2 linked regions of the Oryctolagus cuniculus genome follow. The main gene of each other region encodes a partner of the protein of the gene in region 2 in a complex. Links are inferred from orthologs where the notes say so. Each region holds a gene or a part of one and is shown on either strand. Other genes may lie near its edges.

Region 1 (4,446 bases), on a different chromosome or scaffold from region 2:
GGCCAATAAAATTGTGCACCTCCTGCATCTTCTTCCGCAGCCATTCTACCCTCTCCATCACTGTGAGATGTTTGCCCAGGCTGTGCATGAACTGTATTTCACTCACAGCTCTCTTCCTGGGAGAGAAGAGAAGAGAGGGTCATCCCATGAGCACTCCGCTTCCATATCATAAAGCCAGCCTTAACAATGCAGTTCCCATGCCCTCACCATGAAGAATGGGCCACAGTACTTACTGCACAGGTTTCCCATCCAATTTGGCAAGAAAACAAATTGCAAACATGACAATCATTACTTTAGCCATGTCTTGAGCAGACATCATCTTCTCTAAAAGGAAAGCAAAATAGAGACATTTTAACATGTTTTTCATATTTCAAACTATATAAATACATATTTGTAGCTTACCTTAATAACCATACCACACACACAGCATGACACTGGGTTGGTTTCCATGAGAGCCTTTTGGAATCAGTCTCTATTTTATGGATATGTTAGTACAAATACAAATATTTGATATAGAATTTAGATTAGGGATGCTTTCTTAGTATATTTCTGAGATTTTTTTGCACATTTTAGTATGTGAATTTTCAGCAATGAGAAGATGCAAGATCTTAGTTTTGAGAATTTCCTCTCACATTTTATGTTGGTTATTCCTAGATGGTTATAATTTGCTTGAAAATGGCTAATTCTCTTAATTAGGTAAATTGTCAACACTGTTTATTTACTTAGCCAATCCTTTTTTCATAGGTAAACTTCTTTTCAGGTACTACAATGATAACTCTAAATACCAAATTAATAAGCTCTGATTTAGAGTTTTTTTTGAATTAACACACACTTCCCCTGGCATTGAAAAGACTGTCACAGCATTTAAATATCATAGAATTAGGGCCGGTGCTGCGGCTCACTAGGCTAATCCTCCACCTTGCGGCGCCGGCACACCGGGTTCTAGTCCCGGTCGGGGCACTGGATTCTGTCCCTGTTGTCCCTCTTCCAGGACAGCTCTCTGCTATGGCCAGGGAGTGCAGTGGAGGATGACCCAAGTGCTTGGGCCCTGCACCCCATGGGAGACCAGGAGAAGCACCTGGCTCCTGCCATCAGATCAGCACGGTGCGCCGGCCACAGTGCGCTGGCCGCGGCGGCCATTGGAGGGTGAACCAACGGCAAAGGAAGACCTTTCTCTCTGTCTCTCTCTCTCACTGTCTACTCTGCCTGTCAAAATAAATAAATAAATAAATATAATAGAATTGTTTATTATGTGTATTTCAAGCTTCAGTTCTTAATAAAATGCTTATCTGAATTTATTTTTCCAATTCATTTTATTAGGAACTATTTTTAAAAATTTATTTATTTGGAAGGCAGAGTTCCAGAGACAGAAAGAGATCTTCCATCCACTGTTTCGTTCCCCAAATGGGGGCTGGGCCAGGCTGAAGCTGGGAGCCAGGAGGTTCACTGGAGTTTCCCACATGGGTGCACTTGGGCCATCTGCTGCTGCATACCCAGGCACATTAGTAGGGAGCTAGACCAGAAGTGGAACAGCTGGGACTCATGTCACCCGTGGGGTATGTCAGCATCGCTGGCCATGGCTTAACCCACTACGCCACAACACCAGCCCTAGCAGCTATGTTTTAGCAAAATTTTAGCACCTCTTTTTGCTCAATAAACTTCTTATTTCACTATAAAATAGTCATGCCTTAATCTGCATTTCAATCATTGCAAATGCTGTTACTATAGAAGTTCTTCTAAAAGCTCAGAGATCTACCTTCCAACATACACATGGAGGAGTGTGGTACTTCTACTTTGAAGAGAAACTATATCATTTAGAAATAATGTAACAAACATAAAAGCCTGCCACATTTCTGTTCACTATATAATAATATGGGGGCAGTAAAGGAACTTTTTCGTTTAGGTTAGAAACATGCCAGGTAGCAGGAGGACAGCAACACTGGTTTCTAATCCTGGCTCTGTCACATTCAGCTACGACCTCTGACATCTCTCTGTTTTGCTTCTTTGCTCTTAATGGGGGAGATAGGCTTCTTAGAAGAATATCACAGGGGCCAGCGCTCTGGCACAATGGGTTAATGCCCTGGCCTGAAGCGCCAGCATCCCATATGGGTGCCAGTTTGAGACCTGGCTGCTCCACTTCCTATCTAGCTCTCTGCTATGGCCTGGGAAAGCAGTAGAAGATGGCCCAAGTCCTTGGGCCCCTGCATCTGCGTAGGAGACCCAGAAGCAGCTCCCAGCTCTTGGCTTTGGATGGGCACAGCTCCAGCCGTTGTGGCCAACTGGGGAGTGAACCAACAGATGGAAGACCTCTCTCTCTCTTTCTCTGCCTCTCCTCTGTCTGTGTAACTCTCACTTTTGAATAAATAAATAAATCTTTAAAAAAAAGAATATCACAAAAAAGAGTGGAAAAGTGGTTGTTAAACATCCTTAAAATTCATGTACAATTTTCAGCATAGGAAATTAGAAAAAGTTGTTATTTGTGTAAAGGAAATAATTATTCAGTAACAAAACTGAGTTTATCCAACTTTAGTATTCAGATTAAGCCCCAACAAGCAATTAAGGATACCATCAATGTAAGGCATTTCCTACTCTGCAGGAAAAACTGAATTTTAATTCTGCTTAATGAATTTATAATGATTATTTAAATCAGAAATGTTCAATTTACTGTCAGCCTATTTTATTTCAAAATTTTGATAGACTGCTAAAATGTCAGATTTTGATTATTTTTTCCTGAAATTTCAAATGAGTTTAGAAAAAGCAAAATATCTAATCAGAAAGATGCATAATTTAAGAACATTTTAGCATTAATTTCTGTATTGTTGCATTTAATCTTTAAAATAATTCAACCTCATTTAAAGATTTTACTGTGAATGAACAACATATTTGTAGAAAATGGTCTAACACAATTGTTTGGTTATCAAAATTCTCATTTATCTTGTTTTAAAAACAAGATAAAATCGCAGGGGACTCACCCGACAATGTCTTAGGACAAGGGCTTCTTTCAGGTGAGTGGCAGCGGATGCTCTATGAATGTCGAGTCGACGTGACAATGCCGATGGAGTGCAGTGCAGAGCAGCCAACGGGACATTCACAACAGGTCTCTGGCCCTCTGAGAAAAGCTTTTTATTCTCCCAGATCTTGCCACTCCCAGCTCTCAGAAGGTCAAATGTGGGATCACAGCAGCACACAACCCCTACTGGGCAGGACCCACCCCTCTTAAGTTTTAGATTATTGGATATGAAAAGGAAAATAGTACCGGACCGGGAAAAGTGCTTACACGAAGATTTCTAACAAGTATTGAACTTTACTTCAGAGAAAAATTCGACTAGGTTGATGAATCTGAATTCATACCTTTAAAAAGCCTGATTTCAAAGATTTGTGACTTATCATGTTACCTTAAAATTTGAAAATAAGTGTATTTGTTATAATCATACTATTGACACAGTTGTTATGATAAGCAGTCATATGAGCTATGCTAACTTTATAAACCATTCTCAACAAATTCATATCAGTCACTCTAGTCATATTTCAAAAACTATAGTATTTTTCCTAAAGAAAGTGTTAAAAATAACCAGAAAATGTTCTTAGGGCATAATTCCTCTTATAAGCTTCAAAAGTGAAGTTATTCTAAAATTCATTTAACTGGGGCTGCCGCTTTGGGGTAGCAGGTAAAGCAGCAGCCTGCAGTGCCGGCATCCCATGTGGGCACTGGTTCGAGGCTTGGCTGTACCACTTCCAATAGTGCTCACTACTATGTCCTGGGAAAGCAGTAGAAGATGGCCCAAGTCCTTGGACCCCTGCACCCGCATGGGAGACCCAGAAGATGCTCCTGGCTCCTGGCTTCAAATCGGCCCAGCTCCAGCCATTGCAGCCATTTGGGAAGTGAACCAGCAAATGGAAGACCCCCCTCGCCCCACTTTGCCTCTGTCTCTGTTACTCTACCTTTAAAATAAATAAATAAACCTTTAAAAAATCATTTAATTTACATTCCATTTATACATTTTAATCTGCAATAACATTTCTGAAGCACTAATACTATATTAGACACTACATGCATTATTTACTAAGCCTTCATAGAGGTGCCTTAAAGTAGGTATTATTGTTATTCCCATTTTCACCTGAGGAAAATTAGACTTGGAAAGTGGAGAAGATGGAATTCAACAAAGGTCTTTATGACTCCAGAGCCATTGGATTCTCAGTATCCTAGTTTCCCATTAAAATATGGCCCTTCTTTGACCTCCAGTCTTCTTGGGCTTAATTTGCCTAAGCCCTTTGTAAACTCTCTGTCCAGGGATTGGGGTTTGAATCTCAATTTTTCCAACTGATGATTGAAGGCCTGCTCCAAAATTGAATGGCAGCCTTCTGCTGCCACTCACTTCTCCAGTTCCAATAATTTCAGCAGCCTGGTCCTCAACTATCAGAACCCCTTGAATGCCCTTGATGTCT
Region 2 (4,397 bases):
GTGTGCATGCACAGAGCTCCCTGAGGCAGGGTGGGGAAGGCTCCGCTGCACCCCCCCATGCTAGTGCTCGGTGCACCTCTGCAGGGTGCTGAGCCCCCCTGAGCTCAGTTTCCCTATCCCGAGTCCTTGGCTCTGGGGATCCTTTGCTGCAGCCAGGACTGCGAGCACTTGGACACTGGTTCGGCGGGGTTGCAGAGGACCTCAGAGGAGGGGAGAGCCGCAAAGCAGGGCATTTTCTGGAAAATGTTTCTCTCCTGAACTCGGGACATCAGAAGCATGGCAAAGGCTAGCCCAAGGCTGCACAGGCACCAGGCACAGCCAGGGGAGCCCCAGGGCTCCTGCCTCTCGCGTGGGGTTCTGCTGCTGGTCAGGAGGAGGGAGCACCTGCCCGTACTGCTCACCAGAAGGCAGATGGCCCCATCTGGGCAGAGGACAGCAGGGGTCTAGAGGTCAGGGCTACAGGCAGAGCCCCTCCTTAGTAAGGGGCTGGTCCCTGGGGCAGGGCTGCTGTTGGATATGAATAAGAGGATGGGACATCCCCTAGCCCCAGCCACTGACCCAGCTCGGGACAGGCAGGTGCTGCCCCTCTGAGTCTCTGCCTTCGCCTGTCTCCCCGCTCCTCTGTTCTCCCTTTGTCCCTGTCTCTCCCTAGCGTTTTCTACTGTTCTGTCTGCTGCTCTCCACTCTGGGGGAGCCCAGCCGTCCATCTCCTCACTTACCAGAGCCCCCCTAAGTGTGTTTCTCCTGCAGAGATGTCCAACGAGGTCAGTCTCCAAGGGACTTCCATCCCTCCCTCCTGGGCAAGGGGCTTCAGCTCTGGGTGAAGCTGGACATGTGTTCACGCATGTGTCTAAGTGGGTGATCACGAGACCTGGAGGGAGCCCCTAAAACCTACCCCAACCTCAGACACAGCCCGGTGTCCAAGGCTGCAAACAAAACTTGCAGAAAACCGAGGAACCCCAAAGCAAACGTTTTGTGTGACTCCACACCCGGGGCCAAGGTCCGGCCTTCTACTCCATCACATTGTCACCTCCGAAGGAGACACAACCAGGCAGTGCTCAGACAAGCAGAGAGCAGGGAAACCCCACCAGTCTTCCCCAAATGGGGAGACCTCAGCATCCGGAACCCACAGTCCAGATGCTCCAAGACAACAGACGCCAGAGGGGACCCCCCACTCGATGTTCAGACCACTGGGGGAACCCAAGACTTCCCGCCGTAAACGCGCCCCAGGGACTCCAGGGCAAGCGCCCAGCCTGTCCCGGATCGTGAGCAGCGAGGGACTTACCAGCGCGTACGCGGAGCTGAGCACGGGGCAACAGAGCAGGAGCGCCAGGCCGGGTGCGATCCGGGCGGCCCCCATCGCCACCGCCTAGGGCCGCGTCCCTCGGGGCAGCCACCGCCGCCGGCCCTGGTGTAGGGGTGCAGAGCTGCGTCAGGCCGGGCCGCCCCGCCCACGCCCCGGCCTAGGGGACCCCGGCGTCCGGGCGGCCCGAGGCCCCGGGGCCCGGCGCGGGGCCCATGCGCCAAGGGCGGGCGAGTGAGCGAGCAAGCGAGGGATGGAGGGAGGGAGGGCGGGCGGCAGCCTGAGGCCGGGCGGGCGGCGGGCGGGCGCCGAGCGCTGCGGAGCGGCCCGTCTGCCTCGGAGCGGAGAAATCACATCCATATGGCCGGGCCCCCCGCCCCCGGCCCGCCCCTCGCCCCCCTCCCGCGCCGCCTTTTCTTTCTCTCTCTTTTTTTTTCCTTTGGGGGAACTGGGAGCTGCGGCTTCGCCCCACGCCCAGTGGGGGAGGGGTGGGGGAGGGGTCGGGGTCGCGGTCTGCGGGGGGCGAGCAGAGCTGTTATTTTTAGCTCGGCGGCGTGGGGCTGCCGAGGAGTCAGGGCGGGGCAGGGGGCGCGTTTCGAGCCGCGCGAGGCGTGCAGCGCGGGGACACGATCCCAACTTTGCCGCGGCGCTGAGCCCTTGGCAGCTCCGGCCGCCAGCTCCCAGTCCCTCGGCCCCCTGCCCCCAGCGGCCGCCTCCGGCACCCCCTGCCCATCCTCGGCCGGAGCCCCGCCTGCGCCCGCGCGGCACGAGCGCGCTTGCGGCCCCGACGCTCTGTCTGTCCGTCTGTCGGTCAGTCCGTCTCTAGCTCCCCCGGTCTTGGCCTCCGTGCTTCCAGCGGCCCCAACCAGCTCGGTTTCGGTCACTCCCTCGTTCCCCTCCCCCTTCCCTCTCTACGAAAACATTTGCAAGTTTCCAAAAAAGCCACCGAGCCGAGCGGCGCGGGGCTGGCGGCTCCACCGGGCTCCGAGGAGGCGCCGCCGACAGACATCGAGACAGAGCGGCCCGGCCGGCCCGGCCGCGCCGGGAGTCGCCCCTGCCCACCTCCGGCCTCCCCCTCGGCGCCGGCCCCCAGCCCCCACTTACTCCGAGCGCGCCGCCGCGGCCCCCGCCTTGCCATGGATGTCGGGGCCCCCCCGACAGCCTCCCCCAGCCAGCGCCCCGTCCGCGGCCCCGGGGGGGCTTCATGGAGCTCTCGGGATCCCCCCCTGGCCGGCCCGGCCTCCAGCGCCCCCCGCCCGGCCGCCGCCGCTCCGAGCCGCCGCCCGCCGAGCGCGCGTCCCTCGCCTCGGCGTCTGCCGCGCCCCTCCCCCGGTCGGGCGCCTCTGCCCTCCCCCGCGCCCTCCCCGGGCTCCCCGCCCCCACCCGCGTGGCCTCCGACGGCAGCGTGGAGGGGCCGGACGGAGCCCGCCGCCCCCCGCCCCGGGACGCTTCTGTCGAGGCCGCGGCCCGGGGTCGCCCGGCGGCGGGACGCGAGTCTTGGGAGTCTGAGCCGGGAGAGCTCTGACATCGGGGCCTGGGACACCGCCGCGCTTCGTCCTCCTCTTCGGGAAAACACAGACTTTTATATTTATTTATTAATTTGTGTTCTGATCGTCCGGTCCAAGCAGGCATCCTCGGCCGCCAGGCAGGCCCTCTCCCGGGAGGATCCCGTGGGGAGGCTGCCCGGGACTCGGCGTTCCCCGGCCGCCTGCCGGTCTCCCGCTCGGGGCTGGGACCGGGGTCCCTGGAGAGGCTGCTTGGCCGCTGCCGCCCTCCGGCCCGCCCCGCCCCACCGCGGGGCCCCTGCCCCATCTTGCGCGAGTTGGGGTGCTCGGGCCCCAGACGCGCCCCCGTCTCATCCTCACGTCCCGGTCCCACCCATCTCTTTCCAGTCCAGGTGTCGCTGGCCGGCCCTCTCCAGTGCGGTGCCTGGCCCCGGCCCGTGGCGCGGGGCGGGGCGGGGGGAGGGAAATGGGAGGAGGAGCTCTGAGCAGCCAGGACACCCCCCCTCCCGCCCCAAAACGCTTGTGGCCTGCCGGGGTCCGCTGAGGACCCGCGATTTGAGGAAAGGGAAGGCAGAAGTTTCGGGAGGGGGGTCGTGGGCGGGGCTCATGTGTTCGGCGAGAGAGGGGACGTCAGAGCTGCAGGGGTCGCCTTCGACCCCAAACCTACCACCTCTGGCACCGTTGGGGAAGCTGAGGCAGAGGGAAGGGCTGGGGCTTCCTGGGCAGGTGCAGTGTGTACACACACCCTAAGTGGCAGCCTCTGCTTACCGATCGTGTGTCCCCGGCACTGTGGCTGTCCTGTAGGCTACGCCTCAGTTTCTTCATCTGTGAAATGGGGAAGTTGACCAGCTGGTCCAACGGGTGCTACTGACTTTACCCCTCACTCCCCACCCCACCCCACCCTCACTCCTGGGTGGGTGTTCAGGCCCAAGGGCTCCAGGGAGTCCCCAGACTCAGCCTGAGGAAGGGAGCACCCCATCTCATGGACTGTCCCTCCCCTACAGTGTACAGTGCCTCAAGCTGAACCCTAGGGCTGCTGGAATCCAGAGGCAGCTTCCACGGCCCCGCCCTCCTCAGGTCTCTCCTGCCATTCAAGCACTGGGCAGTAGACAATGTCCTGCAAAGAGGCTCCCAGACCCTGGGCTGTGGTGCTGGCCGCCACCCCACCCCCCGCCCCCACCAAGTTTTCTGTCCTGCCTCTGTTCCCCCAGCAGCCTCTGCCAGGGTCAGATGAGCACCTGTCCTTGGTGGAAAGGATAGCCCTGCCCTCTGTGTCCCCACACCCTGCATCCTCAGGGGGGCTGCTGCTTTCTGGGATGTGTGGGCTCCCACAATGGCCCAGCTCTGTGTCTGGATCTGAGGGACTCCCAGCTGTGTGGCTCTGTGACCACTGGCCTCCCAACCCCTTGGTGATGAGAGAAGAACTGAGAGGTAGAACTTGGAGCTGATGGGGGTGGAGGGTGTCACCCTTAGATCTAATGCAACAAAGCTTGAGGCTTACAAAAATGATATTTGCACCTGTGAAGACCAGGGGCCGCTGTGGGTAAAGCCACTGCTGGACTCTGATGGGCCCTGGGCCCCTTAAGGAC

The links.
Region 1: the proteins of PTH1R (region 2) and PTH are in contact, whole or in part, in a cryo-EM structure (PDB 9JR3), measured with the Homo sapiens proteins. The link is inferred for Oryctolagus cuniculus from reciprocal best matches to the Homo sapiens genes PTH1R and PTH. Residues at the interface, in NP_000307.1 of Homo sapiens: Val31, Met32, Thr33, Lys34, Glu35, Gln37, Ile38, Leu41, Glu111, Trp112, Asp113, His114, Ile115, Ile135, Tyr136, Asp137, Phe138, Arg146, Arg162, Thr163, Ala165, Tyr167, Val171, Leu174, Thr175, Glu177, Glu180, Arg181, Phe184, Leu187; in NP_000306.1 of Homo sapiens: Ser32, Val33, Ser34, Glu35, Ile36, Gln37, Leu38, Met39, His40, Asn41, Leu42, Gly43, Lys44, His45, Leu46, Asn47, Glu50, Arg51, Val52, Glu53, Trp54, Leu55, Arg56, Lys58, Leu59, Asp61, Val62, His63, Asn64, Phe65.

What each region holds. Positions count from the first base shown.
Region 1 is NC_091432.1:52,704,085-52,708,530, reverse strand, and holds the start of PTH (parathyroid hormone), read right to left. Parts: upstream 2,954-4,446; 5' UTR 368-2,953; coding exon 234-367; intron 117-233; coding exon 1-116. UniProt on the Homo sapiens protein: Parathyroid hormone elevates calcium level by dissolving the salts in bone and preventing their renal excretion. Acts by binding to its receptor, PTH1R, activating G protein-coupled receptor signaling.
Region 2 is NC_091441.1:101,878,254-101,882,650, forward strand, and holds the start of PTH1R (parathyroid hormone/parathyroid hormone-related peptide receptor), read right to left. Parts: upstream 2,847-4,397; 5' UTR 2,832-2,846; coding exon 2,408-2,831; intron 1,409-2,407; coding exon 1,286-1,408; intron 1-1,285.